4 linked regions of the Canis lupus familiaris genome follow. The protein of the gene in region 3 interacts with the protein of the main gene of each other region in a pairwise test. Links are inferred from orthologs where the notes say so. Each region holds a gene or a part of one and is shown on either strand. Other genes may lie near its edges.

Region 1 (4,722 bases), on a different chromosome or scaffold from region 3:
TAGCTTGTTGTATTTAAAAAGAAGGCTGGGGAGGCCTTAGCAAAACTGTTGGCCCTCACCTTTCCCAGTAAAGTCCACACTGAACTAGGCACACGCCCCACCCTCCTCGCAGCACATGGAAGGACTTCTCCACTTTGGATTCCACACTCCCTCCCACCACCTGCCACTCAAAGGCTGGCACATAAGGGACAGCCTGGGGGTGGGGGGTCCAGGAGATGGAGTGCTGCCCGTGATCTGGAGGAGGGGCCACTTGGCCCCCCCAAACCCAGAGGAGGGTATTACGGGAAAGGGATTTAAGGACCGGGAGCACAGTCAAGCAAAGGAACCCTGCTCTGGTTCAATGTCCCAAACCCCAGAAGAGGCCCAACCCAGGAGTACCAACAAAGAAATCATGTGACATGTGTACTTCTAGGCTTCTCTTTCTCTCCCTCTCTTAGGTCTCTAGACAGTGGAAGGGTCCTAAGTAAAATCTACAACACCATCAGCTACTTGCAGCCTGTCACTCAATCCCTCCCTCACCCCAATCCCCAATTCCATGCACTCTGCAGAGCCGCTGGGCACCACAGCCCTCTTGGTAGGCCTCAACCATGATAAGGCAGACAGAAAATGGGCACAGCAACCCGAGTCTAGCAACCAAAAAGATTCTCCAGGGCCACTACAGTGACAGCCCCACAGAAGAATGGGGGCAGGCAGCAAAGGGTTGAAGGGTTCCACACGTAGCCCTCACCCTCGTGCATCCCGTTTCAGTATTCCTGTAACCTTGCCGCTGACATCGTGAAGCCAGGTAAGTCAGGGGTGGGGTGGAGCCCAGTTGGAGAGGCCAGCAGCCTTTCCCATCAGGGTTCATCCTTTCCTTCCTGGGATCAGCAAGATTATCAGAGAGCATATGTGGATTGGGGGGAAGGGGTGGCAGAAGGGACAAGGGGCACCCAAACCAGGAAAGGGCTGTGGGTGCGGGAAGGCTGAGGGGGCGACTGGGGATGGGAAGAGGGACGCCTCACTGCTCCTGAGCTGCCTGGCTAAGCTGGGCTGGTGTGCGGTGCTGAGTGATCTTACCCATGATACAAACCCTTATACCAACCATACACTGAGGTGTTGTAAGGGGAGCGTAAGCATCAGCTGCAAGCCAGCTGCGTGGTGGCTGCAGTGACAATAAGAACAGTCAATTAATACGGCGGCCCCTGGACACGCCGCAGCCCTGCCCGCCCCCACCCACCCATCCCTGCCCATGTGGACGCCGCCGCAGCCTCAAAGGGGGCTTTGGAGATGGGGGGGCAGGCGCTGAACACGCCTACCAACCCACTGCCCGCTGAGGAACAGGGTGGGGGGCCAGGGGTGGGGAGGCAGAGGGTCGGGTGGCCCAGCCCCAGCTCTGCTGGGGGGGAAGAGAGGGCAGGTTCAAAGGCCAGTCCTCATTCCAACCTGGCCGCCCCCAATTCTGGTGGGGGGAATGGGGAGAGGCTCCCCGAACATCCGACCCCTTCCCCCAACCTCCAGCTGGCCCCAGCCCCCACCCAGTTCCCTCCTTGCCCCTGAGGTTCAACGTGTGACACTTACCTCCCCAGGTTCACACACACACACACGTTGTGGGGGATTTTGGTTTTTGTTTTTTAAAAAACACGTATATAAAAAAAAAAAAGATATATCAGAAACAGAGGGAGGAGGAGAAGAGACATCGCTAATGTCAGGTTTGGCAGGGTGGGGGGTGGGGACAGACGACGGGAAGGGGCTGGGCAGCATAGAGAGAGAGGGTCAGAGGGCAGGGCTCAGGCCTGAGGTACTCACAATGCATGTCTCGCTCATGTTCATACTCGATGAAGGCATAGCCGCGGGGCTTTCCTGACCGCTTACTGTAGACCATGTGTATCTGGGGGGAGGCGGGCAAAGATTAGTTCTCAGGCAAGGAAATCCCACCCATTCAATCGCAGAGCCTGCGTGCCAGGCCCTGGGCTAGCTCCTGCCAGCGACAGATGTCTCAGACCCCTCTCCCTGTCCTCAAGAGCCCAGAGTGACTAATGCTCTCATCATACTGGGCTCAGCAGTGTTTGTGCACAATGATCTCCAGCCATCACTACTGCCCAGAGCACTCCAGTGACTTCAAGAATTCAAGACATGTCAGTTAAACATAAAGCCTTGCTCTAAAATGAGAATCAGCACACACATTTATACTTTGTCTCTAAAGGGCCAGACAACAGATATTTTCAGCTCAGAGGGCCTTACAATCTGTCCAATTACCGGACTGCCTTACACCAACAGCAGTCACAGACGATAGTGAACAAATGGGCTTGACTGGTTACCAATAAACCTTTATTTACAAATAGTTTGTAGTCTGCTGACCCATACCCTAAATCAACAAAAAAGCAGCTGTTACTTCCTAATTTTACTCCTGCTACCCCAAGGTCTGCTGCATAGAAATGTAGTCAATTTGGGGATCCCTGGGTGGCGCAGCGGTTTAGCGCCTGCCTTTGGCCCAGGGCGCGATCCTGGAGACCCGGGATCGAATCCCACATCGGGCTCCCGGTGCATGGAGCCTGCTTCTCCCTCTGCCTGTGTCTCTGCCTCTCTCTCTCTCTCTCTCTCTGTGTGACTATCATAAATAAATTAAAAAAAAAAAAAAAAAAGAAATGTAGTCAATTTGTAAATGCAGGCCACGGCTTCTGAAGCCCCAACATGATGGGATGCATCCTCAGGGCCAAGAGCCAGCCTTCTCCCTCCCTGCACCCTGTTCCAATTCAAGCAGCCCAGACCCCAGTCCACTCACTCTTTTAATGGGTCCGTATACCTCGAACTCTCTCCGGAGCTTGGATTCTGTTGTGTCATAGTTCTACCAGGAGACAGATACAAAGTTAAGTGGGAGAAACAAGCTGTCCCAAAGCCCTCAGAACGTTCCAGAACTTAGCCTACTGTCCATTGTCCCAAACCCAAACTCTCACCAGCCCCGGGTTCTAGGCTCCTCTGGGGCTCCAGGGGTGGGGAGCTGGGGACTCACCACTCTAGCCACAAAGAGAGTCTTGAAGGCATCACCCTGAGCATTGGGATCATTGTGAGGGTCCCCTGTGCAGGAAGAACAGAATGGCTAAGTACAAGGTGTCAACAGTCTCATTTGGCAAGACAGACACAGAAAATGGGTGGAGGCCCATTTGCTAGAAGAAAACCGTTGTGACCTAGAGGCCTCGGGCATGCTCCTCTCTCCAGTTTCCCTAGAGCACAGTGGCCTTTATGTGAGTAGCCAATTTAGGCTGATGGGGAAAGGGGCTAGGCAACCTCAAGCTCACTGGATAGGGCTGGCCTGAACGCAATTTCAGACCTACACATGCTACAGCTCCAGTCCCTTCTAGGGGAAGACTGGGCGTCTCTGCAGAGGCAGCCTGATCACTCCAGGTGCCCAGTTTCCTCCCTCACCTGCAGGGCCACACTGCCACCCGTTGGCATAGAGTGCAACTACAGCTCAGAGAAACCTTAGATAAAGACTGAGGGAGGGCCGGGAGGGAAGCCAGAGTGCCCCAGCCTCCAGCCTTGCCTTCTTCCCTTTGTACTATGGCCTCTGTGCCTCAGGAAGAAACCAAGGGCACAAGATGCTGATCATATTCTTACTCCTGCAAGGCCACTGAGGAATAACTGTCTCCACAGACAGAAGCAGAGATCTATTACAAAACCAATTCCAGAAGTGATTCTTATGGCTCAGGCCTGGGAAGAAGTCCTTTTCACAGACTACGGTGACCCAGTCACATACAATGGCCCTTGACTCCTCCCAGGGCCCCAGTGGCACCCTGACCACCGCCCAGTGGAGGCGTTTCTTCCATGACACAGTGTCACCTTAGAATGACCTGCCATATTGTGGAGAATATGAGAAAAGAAACATTAATAATGTATTGCCCACGTGATTAGGCCAGGCACTGTGCTAGATGTGGAGAGTCCATCATTTTGCAAATGGAAACAAAACTAGCCCCTGATGCATGGAAGAAGAAAAAGCATCAGATCAGCAAAGAGGCCAAGCCCCGCTCTATAGCCCAGCCTGGCCTCATGGGCCAGGGGCTCCATGATGAATACTTAGGCCCTAACTAGCTCCGTAAAAAGACATTCTAGATATTATCAGAAGCCAGAGAAATAAAACTACAGGTCTGTTTTCTGTGAGAGGGCGACACCGCAAACCTAAATGAAGTGCAAGGTGATTTTAGAGAATTTACTAAAAAGCAGAGAATGGAGCCCACATCTAAAAGAATAACTACCTGGAAACTGATGGTAGCCTTTGATGATGACGCTGTCTTTGAGCCTGCCCCTCCGGTTGTTCACCCTACTTCATCCCCCTGTGCTGTGATTTTCTGTGCCCCAGTATTTCAGCCTGCACCGGGCGGCTCTCATCTATTCACCCAACAGGTACCTGTTAAGTACTAGCAAGCACCTGGAACTGTCATAAGGTGTCAGGGATTCAAGAATGAGCCAGACAAAAAAAGATCCCTGCCCTCTCAGAGAACAGACACAAATGCAGGGAGGCTGACCATGAACAAGGTAAGGGGACCGTCTAGTTCTCTCAGATGATGACAGTCCCAGGCAGAAGAGCTGTAAAGGGAAGGTCAGGAAAGGCCTCACTGGTATAAGGACGTTTGACCCAAGACCTCAAAGTCTCACAGGAGCAACAAGAAACACATCTGCCAACAGCAGGCAACAGGAGTTCTACGGGTTTGCCACCTGGGAAAAGGACGAAAGCCAAACAGCAGGGCC
Region 2 (4,722 bases), on a different chromosome or scaffold from region 3:
TGGCGGCGCTGCTGCCCGGCAGCGAGAAGATGCTGTGGTTGGAGAGGAGGCTGGGCACGGTGTGGTGGGGGGCGGGCGCGGGATGCAAGGGGTGCTGCACGGGCTTCGGTGCTTGCAGGCCCGCCTCCTTCAGCTTCTCTGTGGGGAGAGAAAGGCCGCCACGGCGGGATCTCAGAGCTGCGGGCCGGTCCACACGTCCCCGCTGTCTCCCACTGCCACCTGCCCCTCTCGCCAGGGCAGACGACCTCCGGGGATGCTCGCTGGCGGTGGGCACTGCTCCCAGTCGGACCCACCGGAGTGCCGCAGCGGGCTCGCACTGGCTCACAACGGCAGGCTGACTTCTCTACCACCACGCACACCGGTTAGCGAGCCGTTCCCAGGGCTGATTAAGTATATTCCCAATGAAGCAGCCGACGTTCAAGACAAAGGTAAAGAACACTCAAAACCCACCCCTCGCTTCCTAACGCTTTCACTGCAGTTTACTACTGCGTGCAGCACCCCGAGGAGAGCTCCATCTCTCGTACTCCTATTGGGGGCCACCGGGCACGTCTCCCCAGCTCCCAGCCCTGACCTCACATTTGTAGCCTGAAATGGGCCCTGTAGCGCGCGCCTGCCCACAGGTCGCCGGCCACGCGGTACCTGCTCGGGTCGGGGTCAGCTGCTCCGAGGGCTTGCCCCGCTCCTCGGGGGCGTGGGCCCGCAGCCCGTGCAGCTCAGCCACCGGCAGGAAGGCCGGCTCCAGCGCCTTGGCCGCCAGCAGCTCCTTCTCACGGGCCCGCTGCTCCCGCTGGCGCTCCAGCTCCCGCTCCCGTTCCTTCTCCCGCTCGCGTTCCAGCTCCTTCTCCCGCTCGCGCTCCTTCTCCCGCTCTCGCTCACGCTCCTTCTCCCGCTCGCGGTCAGCTTCCCGCTCGCGCTCCCGCCTCAGCTCCTCATCCAGCTGCAGCCTGTGGGCGAGTGGAAAGAGGTGGTGACAACCGCTGTGCTGGTGCAGGGGGGACCAGGAAACCCCCCCAAGGGGAGACTGGCACCGTGACCTGCACCCCGACAGCAGGTTCGCAGGGCTCTCTGCTTTTATGAACTCCCCAAGAGACTCCAAGTTCCCCGGACCAAAAGCCACCCGCCCAACTCCCCAAGCCTCAGCAGCTCACACCAGGAGGCCGGTGTCTGACAACAGCGCTGCCAGGTACCAGCAAGGAGCTCCAACTGCAGCACCTGTCACTGCCCACCTCGCAGGTGCGCAGACCAAGGACACGTGTACTAGCCCAAGCACGCATGAGCCAGGCTCTGACGTGGGCTGTGCTGCACTCTGTCAGGGCGGGAGGAGCAGGGACACCCCAGCCCAGGACGCAGCTTACCTCTCGGCACTGAGGCTGGACATCCGCTCTGAGTGCAGCGCTGCCAGGGACGAGTGGGAGAGCTCAGGGGGATAGCGGACCCCGGAGAGGTGGAGATGCATAGCCGACGGGTGCAGGGGAGGCAGGGAGCCGGGCGTGGGAATGGGGTAGAAAGGGGACCGTAGGGCTGACAAGCAGTAGGAGTCATCCATCCTGTGCAGAGAAGGTAGGGGCCAGGTGAGAAGCAAAGCCAGAGAAGGCAAAGCCCGGGCCCATCTCAACAGACCCCCCAGCCAGGTAGGAGTGTTGACGTGAGTGCGGCAGACAGGACAGAGGCCGGGAGTCTCCCCAAAGGCCCTGAGAGACTGCCTGCCACGCTGCAGCCCAGCCAGGACCCTCCCAGGCCCGAGCAGCAGGCCCCCTGGGAGCAGCCCGCTCTACCGACGGGCGGGCTAGGAATTGGGAGGCTCCTCCACCCAGCAGAGATGAGGGACACACCTTCCCCGGGCCGTCTCAGTTACGCAGCAAAGGGGTGGCTCCACTAGGTGAAGACGCGCCGTGCCAGCAGCAGGCCCACAAGGAAATGGGGGAGCGTCTGGCAGAGGGACAGCATGGATGAAGGGGGCACTCCCGGGGGCAAACCCCTGCTGGCAACTTGGAAGGCTGGTGGCTGCACTGAGACATGGAGCCTGGTACAGGGCATGAGGGCATGGGGGCAACAGCCCCGGGGACTCACTGGGGGGCAGAGAGCTCACCTGAAGGCCGGGTGGGGGAACGGGTGTGGGGCCAGGTAGCTGGGGTGGTAGTAGGCAGCGGCCGCAGCGGCTGGGTCCAGGCCAAGGGGAGGCAGGGAGGACATGCGGAGGTCCTCGGTGGTGTGGTAAGGCCGGAAGCTCCTCAGGTAGTCCTCGGTGACCGTGCTGGGGGGCACCACGTGGTGCACGGGCCGCTGGAGGCTGCAGGTGAGGACACGTGGATGAGTGAAAGATGTGGTGAGCAGGGCTCCTGCGCCAGGCTGGGCAACAGGCCAGTCTCCCCACACACCCCTGTTCCCGCCGCCGCCAGAACAAGGGGTCTCCAGAGACAGGTCCTGGCCTCTGCAAACAAGACGTGGGCAGTGGCTGCTCCTCGGGCCTGCCATCCATGGCCTGGAGGAACCCCTGGCTCCAAGGGCTCAGAACAGGGGCTCGGGTGGGGTCGGAGAGCCAGCCGCCATCTCACCGTGGAAACGGACAGCAGGCACAGACGGGGCTGCAGGCCCGGGGCTCAGCCACCATCTGGCAGCTCTCAGGCTCAGCTGGTACAGACCCACCGCCGGGCACTGCCGCTAGAGCCTCCGGGATCCAGACCCCAAGCACATGTGCACCCCCCCCAACCCCCCGGCCTCCAATCTGCAGACTTACTTGAGTGGTGGGAAGCGTGAGTCCTGCACCACAGAGCTGGGGGAGATGCCGAAAGGGTAGGGGGTGCTGAGCAGGTGGGAGGGGATGGCTGGGCCCCCTGCCTTCTCCTGGGGCAGCGGGGGCTCCACGATGAGGCGCTCCCGACCACTGCTGCTGCCCCGAGAGCCGGCGTCCTGCTGGAGGACAGAGAGCACTGGGTCAGGACAGGGCCGCGGGGCAGGAGCCGGCTCAGACTGCTGACAACGCAAGGCCGGGGCTCCCCAGGCTCAGAGAGGCTCCCGTTCTGGAGGACTTTCCTTAAGGGTTTCTACCCAGACCTGGGGTGCGCACAGGAGGGAGCAAGCATGGTGAGGTGGTGAGACGGGAGGGCACAGGTTCTCATGCCGGGCAGGACGGGAACCCATCTGATTGCCGGGGCCATGGAAACAAGCGCCCACAAGGGGACACAGCACAGTCCCCACCTCGAGCCAACACCCATGTCTTCCCAGTGTGCGTTTCTCACAGCGCCATGCCAGCTCTGAACCCAAACCCAGGGACGACGTGGTTCCAGCAACCCCAGAAAGTGAGCTCTACTCTGCAGCAGGGAGCAGCAGAACCAGCCAGAGCCCCGCGCGCTGATCACCAAGCATGCACAGACGACCCCCAGGGGCTGAAGCGTCAGCTGTGCTGACAGCTGCCAGCACGCGTCACAGATACCTCGGCCCCCTGGCGCCCACAGAGAGTCACAGCCGAGAAGCTGGCACTGCCCCCAGGCTGAACACGCCAGCCTAACCCCCCTGCCAGCCCCTGGGGTAGCCCTGGCACCAGCCACAGTAGGCAGCTGTGGCACCCAACTGGTCAGACCTGTCTGGGGACACCTCTGTACACACTGGGGGTGGGCCGTGGCCCTGCTGACCCCAGACTCCTGGACATACAGAGGGACCTGGTGGGGAGGCAGACCCTGGGAAACCAGAGAAGGGGGATGCTCAAGACAGGAAGAGGGGGGAGCAACAGGAGCCCCTACCACGGCCAGGGCAGGAGTGTCTGTCTAGCCCCGAGAGCACACACCACCCACAGTTGTGAGCGCTCCTGTCATTTACATGGCTAAAGGGAGCCACGTAAATTGGGGGGGGGGGGGGGGACGCTCCATCATTGGGACAGCCCTTCTCAGCCCAAGGGAGGTCACCACTAGCCCAGGTCCGACCTTGGCCACACGGGTTCCAAGGTGGTGGCTGCAGCCTCCCCTGACCCCGAGAGCTCCTGGGCCAGGTCCCTCCTTCACCTGGCTGGACCACCAGGCCCACCCCCAGCAGGCAGCAAACGGGGATCGGGAGACAGCAGGTGGCAGTCATGGGGGTCACAGCCCAGCATGTCCACCCAAATCCACGGTAGTTCCCCTGTGCCACCAAACAAGCAGCACACCTTGAAAACAAGCGGGCGGGGGGTGGGGGGCCCTAGGTGGCTCACTGGTTGAGTGTCTGCCTTTGGCTTGGGGTGTGATCCCAGGATCCTGGGATTGAGTCCTGTATCGGGCTCCCTGCCTGGAGCCTGCTTCTCCCTCTGCCTGTGTCTCTGCTTCTCTCTGTCTCTCATGAATAAATAAATAAAATCTTAGAAAAAAGGGGGGAACCACAACGCTTGGACCACGTCTCCTCAACAAGGCAAAAACTGGAGAACACGTCTAAGAACGATCGCTGGACACACAGAGGCTGAGCCCCGTCCCCGGAGGAGATACCCCCCAGTCCTGGCTCGGCCATGGCTGAGGTTCTCTGTTCTCTGGTACAGTTGGGGGTGCAAGCTGCAGAGCCCCCAGTTTATCACTGGGCTGCGCACTCTAATCGCACCCCCCCAACCCCCAGCAGCCACTGCCAGCCCGTGGACGAGGCGGGGCAGGCAGTAGAGGAGGGCCTGGACTGTGCCAGGCCACCACCGCGCCCTCTCTGGCCTTCCAGAAGACACATCCGTGATAATTAATTGAAGGAGACAAGCCGCTGATTGGAATTTTT
Region 3 (5,251 bases):
TGTCCCTCTTCCAAATACCACTAACCCTGTTATACTTCCCTGGCTTTGCACTTAAAAGCCTCCCCACCCCACCACCACCCTCCCCCAATCACCAACGCCTACTCTTCCTTCCAAACTCAACACTGGTGTCAGCTCACCGGGTCAACAACTCATTTCCAGAGTCAGGCACTAAGGTGCCTTCACTGAATCTTCAGGGGCTGAAGAATGGAAACGATCAAGACCCCAAAGATTCAGATGCAGTGAAACGCCGGGACACCTGCACCCCGATGTTTCTAGCAGCAATGTCCACAATAGCCAGCCTGTGGAAGGAGCCTCGGTGTCCACGAAAGATGAATGGATCAAGAAGCTGTGGTTTATGTATACAATGGAATATTCCTCAGCCATTAGAGACGACAAATACCCACCATTTGCTTCGACGTGGATGGAACTGGAGGGTATTATGCTGAGTGAATAAGTCAATCGGAGAAGGACAATCATTTATTGTATGGTCTCATTCATTTGGGGAATATAAAAATTAGTGAAAGGGAATAAAGGGGAAAGGAGAAAAAATGAGTGGGAAACACCAGAAAGGGAGACAGAACATGAGAGACTCCTAACTCTGGGAAACGAACTAGGGGTGGTGGAAGGGGAGGAGGGCAGGGGGGTGGGGGGTGACTGGGTGACGGGCACTGAGGGGGGCACTTGGCAGGGTGAGCACTGGGTGTTATGCTATATGTTGGCAAATTGAACTCCAATAAATAAATTAAAAAAAAAAAAAAAAAAAGACCGGCAACGTCCGGGACACGGCCACTGTCCCGAGCACGTGCCACACTCGACAGAATGAGACACTACTACCTTCCCTAACGAACCTTCTCTTACGCACGTGACAGCCCGGGGCCTCCGGAGCAGGTGCTCCGTACAATGTTTCCAGCCACCCCCCGCCCCCCATCAGTCTACAAGACTTGGCTCCCGGGTCATCTCCCGCAGGAGGGCGGTTCCTAGACCCAGGCGGGGCGCGGTCCTCGTCCCTCCTGGGGTCCCTCAGTTCCCTGGACACAGCGAGTGGTCCCAACGCGGAGCTCGTCACACTTTCCCAGACCCGTGGTGTCATCCGGTTTCTGTGCTTTGCAGATCCGCAAGCCGGCGGTTAACGCGAACTAAGCGGGCCCGCCTTCCCCCGCGCTAGAAATGACCCTCGCGGGCCACCACCAGCCGTCCGCAAGCAGGGGGCCGCCCCGGTCCCCACTTCCGGCTGGAGATACCAAGTGTGGAAGCGGGGGAGGCCCGGAGCCGCCACGCGAGTGCCTTTCCACCCTCCAGGGCGAGCGGTGGGGACAGTGGTTGTGAAGATGAAGTGAAGACATCGGCCTCCACTGACGGGAGCGGGGAGAGGCGCCGCTGAGGAACCAACGCGTCCTCGTCCCTCCAAAACCGGGACTAGGGGCGCGGGAAAGCCTTACCCGCACCGGACTCAGCGCCGCACCCGCTTCCACCGGAACTTCCACCCCCCACCCCGCGCCTCTGAGGATCACGTGACCCGCGCGGTCCTGCGCTCCGATCCCCGGATGTGATGTGGGTGAGCCCATTTGCATGCGCGGAGGGGCGTCCTGGGAGGACGCTGCTCCGAGGAAGAAGCGAGGGGGCAGTGGGCGGAACGAACGTGCGGACGGCGGAGGCCGGACGTCGGGGTCGGCGGTGACGCGCGTGCGCGCCCCCGGCCGGAGGTAACGGCGGGAAGGCTCGGGGGCGCGCGCGCGTGCGCAGCGGCCCAGTAACCGCATGTGCGCCCGGTGGACGGGCGAGGGGCGGGCGTGTCCCGGTCCGGAGGCAGCCCTGGCTGCGGCGGCGCCGCGGGCTGCCCGGCCGTACGGCCCGGGGCTGGCGTCCGCCGCCGCCCGCTGGCCCCCGGGCCCGCCCTCGCCGGCCCGGCTCCGCTGCGGCGCCCCGCCCGTCGGCCTCGCCGCGTGTGCCCTGCGGAGCCGCGAAGGCGGACGTGGCCTTTGGCGGCGCGCCGTCCGGGCCAGCCAGGTGGTCAGCCCCTCCCCCGAGGCCGGGCCGGCGGGAGGGCGGCGGGGGGGGCGAGCTGCCGCCCAGGCCTCGTCTTCCGCGGCGGAGCCGGCTGCGGGCCGCTCTTCCTTTGCAGAGGAGGGACCCCCGGCACAGCCCTCCCGCCTAGGCTGCCAGATCTGGTTAGCTTCCCAGCGTTGTTGCGGCTTAGCCTTGGCGGCACTGGGGCCGATTCGCCTGGGGGCGGGGCGGGGGGCACGAGCAGTTTTTATTTTTATTTAAAAAAAAAATTTTTTTTAGCAGTTTTTAAAAAGTGAGTTAATAATGTTCGTCCAAGAGGTACGGAAATGCAGGAATCGTGAAGGACTGAAGAAGTTGGGAAACCCTGAGTTCACCGATCGTCTGACATCAGGGGCGCGAAAGAAATGATCCAGGGCTTAAAAGGGACAGTTCCTTAGGAGCACTTTATTTATTTATTTATTTATTTAAAAGATTTTATTTATTTATTCACGAGAGACAGGCAGGGACACAAGCAGCGGGAGAAGCAGGCTCCATGCAGGGAGCCCGAGGTGGGCCTCGATCCCGGGTCCCCAGGATCACGCCCTGGGTCAAAGGCAGGCGCTGAACCGATGAGCCACCCAGGCTGCCCCTTAGGGGCACTTTAAAAAAAAAAATTTTTTTTTTTTTAAGATTCTACTTATTTATTCATTCATGATAGACATAGAAAGGCAGAGACACAGGCAGAGGGAGAAGCAGGCTCCATGCAGGGAGCCCGACGTGGGGCTCGATCCCGGGTGTCCAGGATCAGGCCCTGGGCCACAGGCAGGCGCTGAACTGCTGAGCCACCCAGGGATCCCCCCTTAGGAGCACTTTAATCGTGAAGATACTTGAGGGCCCTAAGCCTAGGGCGCATACTGTCTTCCTTAACGTTCCTTACCAGCCTCAGAGTAAAAACGAGTCCAAGGTCATTGACTAGTCTTGATTTGTAGTTAGAGTAGCCTTATTTGCAGAGAGTAGTTTTCCTTGAGCCTTTCATCCGATTCCTTAAATAATTTCACACTTAATAAAGAAGTATTATAGTGTAGGTACACTACGGTAATACAGAAGTTCCCTAACTGCTTGCATTCCGTTTTATTTTATTTTATAGAGGCGAAGAGGAAGCCCTAGTAAGGACCATCAACTACATGTAACATCTACATATTCACATTTACACGTATTATAGCTGTAGCGTAATCATATAATAAGCTTCTGTATTTTCTTACTTGAAATACAGTACCGCCTTTAGTTTGTCATCAGCTTCTTGCCCCTCTGGCTACACCGTTCTCAGTGATCAGTATAGTAGAAGTGAAATTCTCTTGGGTTACAGACTCCTAAACATTTAGACATTCACACTGCCCTTCAGTGCATGTAGGTTCAGGTTTTAAAAATTATTTGTAATAAATGTGTATGTTAAGTGTACTGTGCCATATTCCTCGCATTAGAAGGTAGAAGATCTTTGCTTTGTCCTTCCTTTTCTCATTTAACGTTGCAGTGGTGGCCAGCTGTGACAAGATCAGTAAACCACTCTATCAGAGTTCCCTACTTAAAAAAAAAAGTCAACTTGATTTGAAATTCATCTGAAGCCAACATGAACAGGGATTGCAAGGATTTAATTTATTTTTATGTTAGGGTACCCGCAGCTAAATTTTTATGTTAGGGTACCCGCAGCTAAATTTGCTTTTTCAGCTTTACAAAACCATAGTCCTGTCATCACACTTACAAAAATTTATAAAAATTCCATGATGTCGATATTCAGTCTGGGTTTAGATTTCCCCAAGTGTCCCTTAAGTGACTTTTTACAATTAGCTCTTTTGAAGCAAAATCCCATAGAGATTCACATGTTGCATTGGTTGATACATCGATTAAATCTTTTTAAATAGAGCGGTTCCCTTGTGTCCCTTGTCCCCCTTAATATTCTAGATTTAGCTGATTGCATCTGCATGACATCCTTTTAACATGTACATCTTTTCCCTTTAAACCAGTAGTTAGATCTAGAATTGCACTGTCCACTATAGTAGCCACCAGCCAGCTGTAGCTATTAAATATTACCATGATATAAAACTAAAAATTCAGTTCCCTGGCTTCATTAGCCACATTTCAAGTGCCCAGTGGTCACAAGTGCCTGGTGGCTACCCTTTGAATGGTGCAGAAGTAAAATTTTTCAATAATTGCAGAAAGTTCTGTTGAATAGCACTGATCTAGAAGATCAGATTTAACTTTAATTTTGTGTGTGTGTGTGTGTGGGGGGGGGGTCAAGACGATTTTCCAGGTGGTACAGTAGACAATCTATTGCATTATCAGAGAGGTATGAAATGTCTGAGTTGTCTCTCTCTTAAGATTGAGCAATGTAATGGGTTCAAATATTGTTAGCCCAATCCATCCATTGTGAAATTCCCCATGAGCTTTTCACTTAATGGTGAACTCTTTTTTACAGATTTATATCGCCTATATTCATTATTGCATTAGGGATTGCAGAATGGTGATTTTCCCACTCCTGCCATTCCTTCAATATTTATTAGCTGGAAATCTTTTATGAGAAGAACTCTACCCCAGCAGCTATTTGACTGTCATCAGCTATTTGAAATATATTTTGTAGAGGAAAGGCAAGGAAAATGCTTAATTCTTTCCCTCTATTTTCAGACTACAGTAATGAGTTGGTGGCTTAGCAACCTCCAAAGGTAACCATGAGGGTTTTTGCCCTTTTTTTTTTTTTTTAATCATCATGGAGTTGAATATATTTAAACTGTTTCAACTTATTGCAGTCTTTTTTTTTTTTTTTTTTTTTTAATACTCAAATTGTCCTGCCTTTGGTCAGTGGCTTCCCCTTTAAGTTGGTTCCTGTCCACCTTGTTATGATTAGTAGTCTTTGATAATCAGTTTACCTATTTTCTGGTAAAACATGTTCCTCCCTCATTTATACATTAATGCCCACCAAAATGCCCTGGCTCTTTAGAGTAGGAACCAGTATTTAGAGACCACAGTCTGGGTGCTACAGGTGCTCTTATTGTTAGGTTGGTCAATGGTTCTAGCATTCACAGTGGCCAGTTAGGAAATATATATAGTTTTAAACAAATATACAGAATTCATACTGATATTTACATTTTATTTTATTTGTTATTTTTAAAGATTTTATTTACTCATGAGAGAGAGAGAGGCAGAGACACAGGCAGAGGGAGAAGCAGGCTCCATACAAAGAATCTGATGTGGGACTTAATCCCAGAACTCT
Region 4 (4,722 bases), on a different chromosome or scaffold from region 3:
TTGCACGCCTCTCGGCAAAGGTTTTCAGTCATGCACATTTCTTCAATTTATTTTTGAAGTCATATACACGATGGTTAATAGCTCTTGGGCTACACTGCAAGAGACAAGTCCATCTCTGCCATTCAGTAACTGTGTGAGCTTTAGTAAGTTGCCCATATGTAGAAGAGGGCTAATGACAGCACTTATAAAGTCATCATGAAGTTTCAGTTACTATGCTTTTTAAATACCTAGCACATAGTTAATACTCAATAAATGTTAGCTGTTATTCTTTCATCCATTTTCTACAGAGTGCTCTTCAGTATGTAAATGCTTTGTTGCTGCTGCTGTTCTGTCCTCAGCCTCCAGGAGATAGTCTCACTGAAGATAGGGACTTCACCTTATTATTCACCAGTCGACCCCCACCACCTAGAAAAGTGCGTGGCACAGAACAGGCACTTGACAGGATATAAATAAACTGCTGTACTTTTCCCAGCAAGGATTTCCAGATCTCAGTTCTCCCTGTTCTCCACAAATTATGAAACCTGTGCTTTTATGGTAAGTTGTCTTAAATGCTTTTTGGAAACAGTCATTGTTATCGATGAAATGCAATTAAAGACAGACCACTTCATCGGGCTCAGCCTTTCCAATTTGCACTGATTCCTCTAACCTCCTGCTTCTCATTAGGTCTGTCCTGACTGATTTGTCATTCAACTGCTGTGATCCAGCGCACAGCAGCTTTTAGGTTAGTGAAAGTTCATGCCATCAGTTCCAGTCTAAAAATCTGTCTACTTGGACAAATTTCCTGCCTTGGAGTTGACATGTCTTAACCCTCTGCCAGAGCAAGCAAGCTCTGTGTCCCACTGACCTCGCCCGGCTCACCGCAGCCAAGTCCCTGAGTTAAAACTCTAATCAGCTATTAGAGGATGGGCACCTCCCTGGGTATTAACCTTGACTGAAGTTCCAGACTATTCAGAAGATTAGTACTCAACTAACAAATTTTCAGAACTGACCTGCAGAATTCTAGTTAGTACCTAAAAGCAAATCTTTGTTAATTCTCAAATGTTAGCAATTCTGAGATCCTCAAATGCCCAAGTAGCCCTTCTGAAAAGTGGACAGTGAGTTTCTGATGGCTGCTGTCATCTCTACCCTGCCTGCTCTCATCCTCAGCAGCACACTCAGCATGAGTACAAATAACACCACCTCTGACTCTACAGTATTTTCACGCTAATAGCTAGATGAAAGTGGGATGAGTAGTTATCCATTCAAGGGCTTCTGGGCACCTGAAATGCAGCTAATACAACTGAGAAACTGAATTTTAAATTTTAACTAACATTAATAGAAATGTGAACAGTCACATGTGGCTAGTGGCTACTGGAATGGTCGGCACAGACACAGAGCACTTACTTCACTAACTGCCCAGAGAAAAATCCTTCTATCACGCTGGAAGATAAAATCCTTTACTTAAAAAAGAGGGGAAGAAAGAACTTATTTTGGGAAGAAAAAAAGTATGGAGGAATAGGAAATGCTGAAATAGCAATAAGCTCAAAAACAAAATAAATCTGAATTAAGAGCTTTGGGGTTCCATTGTAAGGTTCTGTGTATAGTGGCTGCTAAGTGTTTTCTCTGCTTATCTGGATTAAAAAAAAAAAAAAAAAAAAAACCTCTGCTGATGGAAAAAGGAACATTCTCCATGTATTAGTCATTGGTTACTCCAAACGTCACCTCTGAAAACGGCAGCCATGTAAAAGAACATGTATGCATGTAAGCATGTAAAAGAACAGCCGTGTCCACCTGAGCCAGTCTTACATGAGACTGAATGGCAGCTCAACGAGTCTCTATACAGTCTGTGTAGGAAGGCTTCTAGTCCTTTACAATCGGTTCAGTGGCAAGAGAAATAAACCATATATAAAAATGATCCCCAAACGTGAAACAAGTAGGCGTGTGCAAAAACAAACAAGCACATATGGCAGGGAAATTTGGTGTCAAGAGTAGTTGGCTTTCAGGGGTAGGACTGAAGAATGGGCCCCTCTCTTTTCTTTCTCGATTTTTTGGCATAAGCGTATATTACTGCCATCATCAAAAGGTCGACTTTGCCTGAAAACCTTTCTTTTTAAAATCTCAATTGATTGAGCTGCTCCTGTTTTACATGTGGCCACCGTCACCCCGCTCCCCGTGTGGGAGCAACCGTGGAAACTTCTTCTGCCTCACAGAGCGCGTGACTTCCCCAACTTCTCCACTGAAACCATCACTTACACGTGCCTTGCCCTGCTTCCCCAGCAAACCCTCCTCAGTTGGATAATCTACCACAGGTTCAGAAAGAAAAGACACTGCAAACCTTTTGGTGAAGGAAAACTGTTCTCTGTGCCCTTGCCAACAGGAGTGGCTGGCAAAGAAAGTGATGCCTGGACAGCAGAGTCCATCTTTTCACAATCAAGAGTCGGAGAACTGGGGGCCGACTTTCTGGTTACTTCCTGTTGTCTTTCCCGAACTGCCAGTTCTTGTCTTAAATCTGCAAAATGGGGCACAGGTAATAGAACTCACCAGAGGAAGCAAATCACCCAAGCAAAGTCACCTCTAAAATGCCATAACTTCCACAATTACTATATCTCAAAAGAAGAGTTTCCTACATAACACTTTTTTTTCCTCAGGGTATAAAAATGACAACCCTACTGTTTAAATGATCTTTGAGAATAATTTTTAAATGCTAGAATTGATACAAATGCTATAACCTAAGAGAACAGTTAACTATGCTCATTATATAAAAATAGGGCAGAGTCCAAAGAACAACTCGCAATGAGCCTATACGACACAAAAATAAATATTCTTTTCAACTCATTTGCTTTTATTTTGAAATGATGTACTTTGGCAATTACTGCAAAATCAATGAAGTACATTTTTGTAATTTTATATGGGTTAGTATTTTTTTATTAGTTGTCAAAATGCACTACTCTGTTTTAGAAAAGAAGTATTCAAAATAGTTGCAATTTTTTTCTTGCTTTCAAATACTGAATTTTTAAGCCAAAATTAACACTTTCTTTTCCAGTTATGCAACTGACCTACAGAACACACATTTAAAAAGGACACAAAGTTATCCCATTTCTGAGTATTATATCCAAATGTCTGCCCATGGATAATGGATAAAGAAAATGCAATACAAGCATTTAATATGATCTTATTCAGCCTTAAATAGGAAGGACATTCTGATACGTGCTACCACATGGATGAACCTCAAGGACATTACACTAAGTGAAAAAGGACAAAACCCCAGTGACAAAAGGACAAACACTGTATGACTCCAGTATATGAGGTCCCTAGAGTCATCAGATTCATAGACACAGAAAGGAGAATGGTGTTTCCAGGGGCTGGGAGGAAAGGGGGAGGGAAGTCAGAGTGCTGTACACATATTATGCATGTGGTGATTATATACTTTCCTTTAAAAGTCTCTTTCCCTCCCTCTCTTTTTAATACATGGTAGAATGCAGAATATCATAAAGACGAAAATAGCCTCTTCTTTATAATATGTGCACATATGCAGTGTTACTATGTGCATAACACAAAATTATTTACACAGAAGCAAAATATAAAACACCAAAACAAACCAAGCAGGACATGAACAGTGGGAACAGAATTAAGGTTTTGGAAAAAAGACCATTGTCTGAATTCCCACTGAAAAGCTCTTAAGGCTTTGGACAAAACTCAAACTCTCCATGCCTTGGTTTTCTGACCCATAAAATGGGGATACTACCTACCTCTCAGAGTTGGCTCATAGGTGTTAAGAGACTAAAAACACTTAGTGTAGTGCCTGACAAAAGTATACAAATGTGCACAACTTTCAGAGCAGATCCCAAACCTAACTTAGAACTCGGACTTAGAGACATTAAGGTAAAGGATAAACTTTAAGTTGTCAGTTTTTACCTCTTGCTTCATCCTTTAACCGTTGTACGGAGACCAACAAAGATTCCTTTTCATCAAGTTCACTTTCTAAAAATGCATTGCGTTCAATGGCCTGATTTAACCTTTGTTCAAAGTCTTCCAGTGAAACTATTGTTGCCCTTAAGAAAAAAAAAAAAAAATGGAGTCCACAAATTAAATAAGCAGCATGCAAATAGCTAATACAAAAGAAAAATGTCAGTTGATCTCATGCCATTTCCTGACCTAGAAAGCCTGGCCCAGTTGAAAGAGAATGATCTCAATGCCTTCTGACTTTTGGTGGCATTTAGTATCTCTGCTATTAGTTCGGGCCATTCAATATATTCTTTTAAATTCCCGCCAAAATTCCCTATGATTCCTTAAAGGAAGGCCATTTATTACACATTATATCTCCCCACTGAATGTTAAACAATCAAAGTTTACACATTTTCAAGAAGAAAACTTTTCAACAATTTTAGAGTACACTAAGAATTAGTTATTTGTTTGAAACATCAAGTCCTAGCTCCCACTCCATTTACTTCCTAACTCCTCTTTCTGCATTTTTTATGTTACTCATTTATTCAGCAAACAGTAACAAGCACCTACTATGCACCACCACCACCACCACCACCACCACCCTGACAATATGTGCTATCTGCTACAGAAATAAAGTTCTATAACCTCCAGTTAGAACTCCTAATGCCCTGGCCAATTTTATCAAGAAGTCTCTCAATTCCAGACTCCTAACTCTGGGAAAAGAACAAGGGGTAGTGAAAGGGGAGGTGGGCAGGGGGATGGGGTGACTGGGTGACGGGGCACTTGTCAGGATGAGCA

Evidence for each region. The genes of interacting proteins can lie anywhere in the genome.
Region 1: the proteins of CEP63 (region 3) and SNRNP70 interact in binary tests that used the Homo sapiens proteins (3 or more experiments, as listed by UniProt). The link is inferred for Canis lupus familiaris from reciprocal best matches to the Homo sapiens genes CEP63 and SNRNP70.
Region 2: the proteins of CEP63 (region 3) and GSE1 interact in a two-hybrid assay, tested with the Homo sapiens proteins (2 studies listed by BioGRID and IntAct). The link is inferred for Canis lupus familiaris from reciprocal best matches to the Homo sapiens genes CEP63 and GSE1.
Region 4: the proteins of CEP63 (region 3) and NDEL1 interact in a two-hybrid assay, tested with the Homo sapiens proteins (2 studies listed by BioGRID and IntAct). The link is inferred for Canis lupus familiaris from reciprocal best matches to the Homo sapiens genes CEP63 and NDEL1.

The regions. Positions count from the first base shown.
Region 1 is NC_049222.1:108,020,436-108,025,157, forward strand, and holds part of SNRNP70 (U1 small nuclear ribonucleoprotein 70 kDa), read right to left. Parts: intron 3,055-4,722; coding exon 2,990-3,054; intron 2,825-2,989; coding exon 2,762-2,824; intron 1,868-2,761; coding exon 1,786-1,867; intron 1-1,785. UniProt on the Homo sapiens protein: Component of the spliceosomal U1 snRNP, which is essential for recognition of the pre-mRNA 5' splice-site and the subsequent assembly of the spliceosome. SNRNP70 binds to the loop I region of U1-snRNA.
Region 2 is NC_049226.1:67,514,655-67,519,376, forward strand, and holds part of GSE1 (genetic suppressor element 1), read right to left. Parts: intron 2,914-4,722; coding exon 2,738-2,913; intron 2,291-2,737; coding exon 2,090-2,290; intron 1,548-2,089; coding exon 1,356-1,547; intron 945-1,355; coding exon 640-944; intron 139-639; coding exon 1-138.
Region 3 is NC_049244.1:31,766,757-31,772,007, forward strand, and holds the start of CEP63 (centrosomal protein of 63 kDa), read left to right. Parts: upstream 1-1,561; 5' UTR 1,562-1,569; coding exon 1,570-1,703; intron 1,704-1,932; exon of another isoform or gene 1,933-2,007; intron 2,008-2,041; exon of another isoform or gene 2,042-2,168; intron 2,169-5,251. UniProt on the Homo sapiens protein: Required for normal spindle assembly.
Region 4 is NC_049226.1:33,423,205-33,427,926, reverse strand, and holds part of NDEL1 (nuclear distribution protein nudE-like 1), read right to left. Parts: intron 4,032-4,722; coding exon 3,895-4,031; intron 2,489-3,894; coding exon 2,315-2,488; intron 846-2,314; exon of another isoform or gene 288-845; intron 1-287. UniProt on the Homo sapiens protein: Required for organization of the cellular microtubule array and microtubule anchoring at the centrosome. May regulate microtubule organization at least in part by targeting the microtubule severing protein KATNA1 to the centrosome.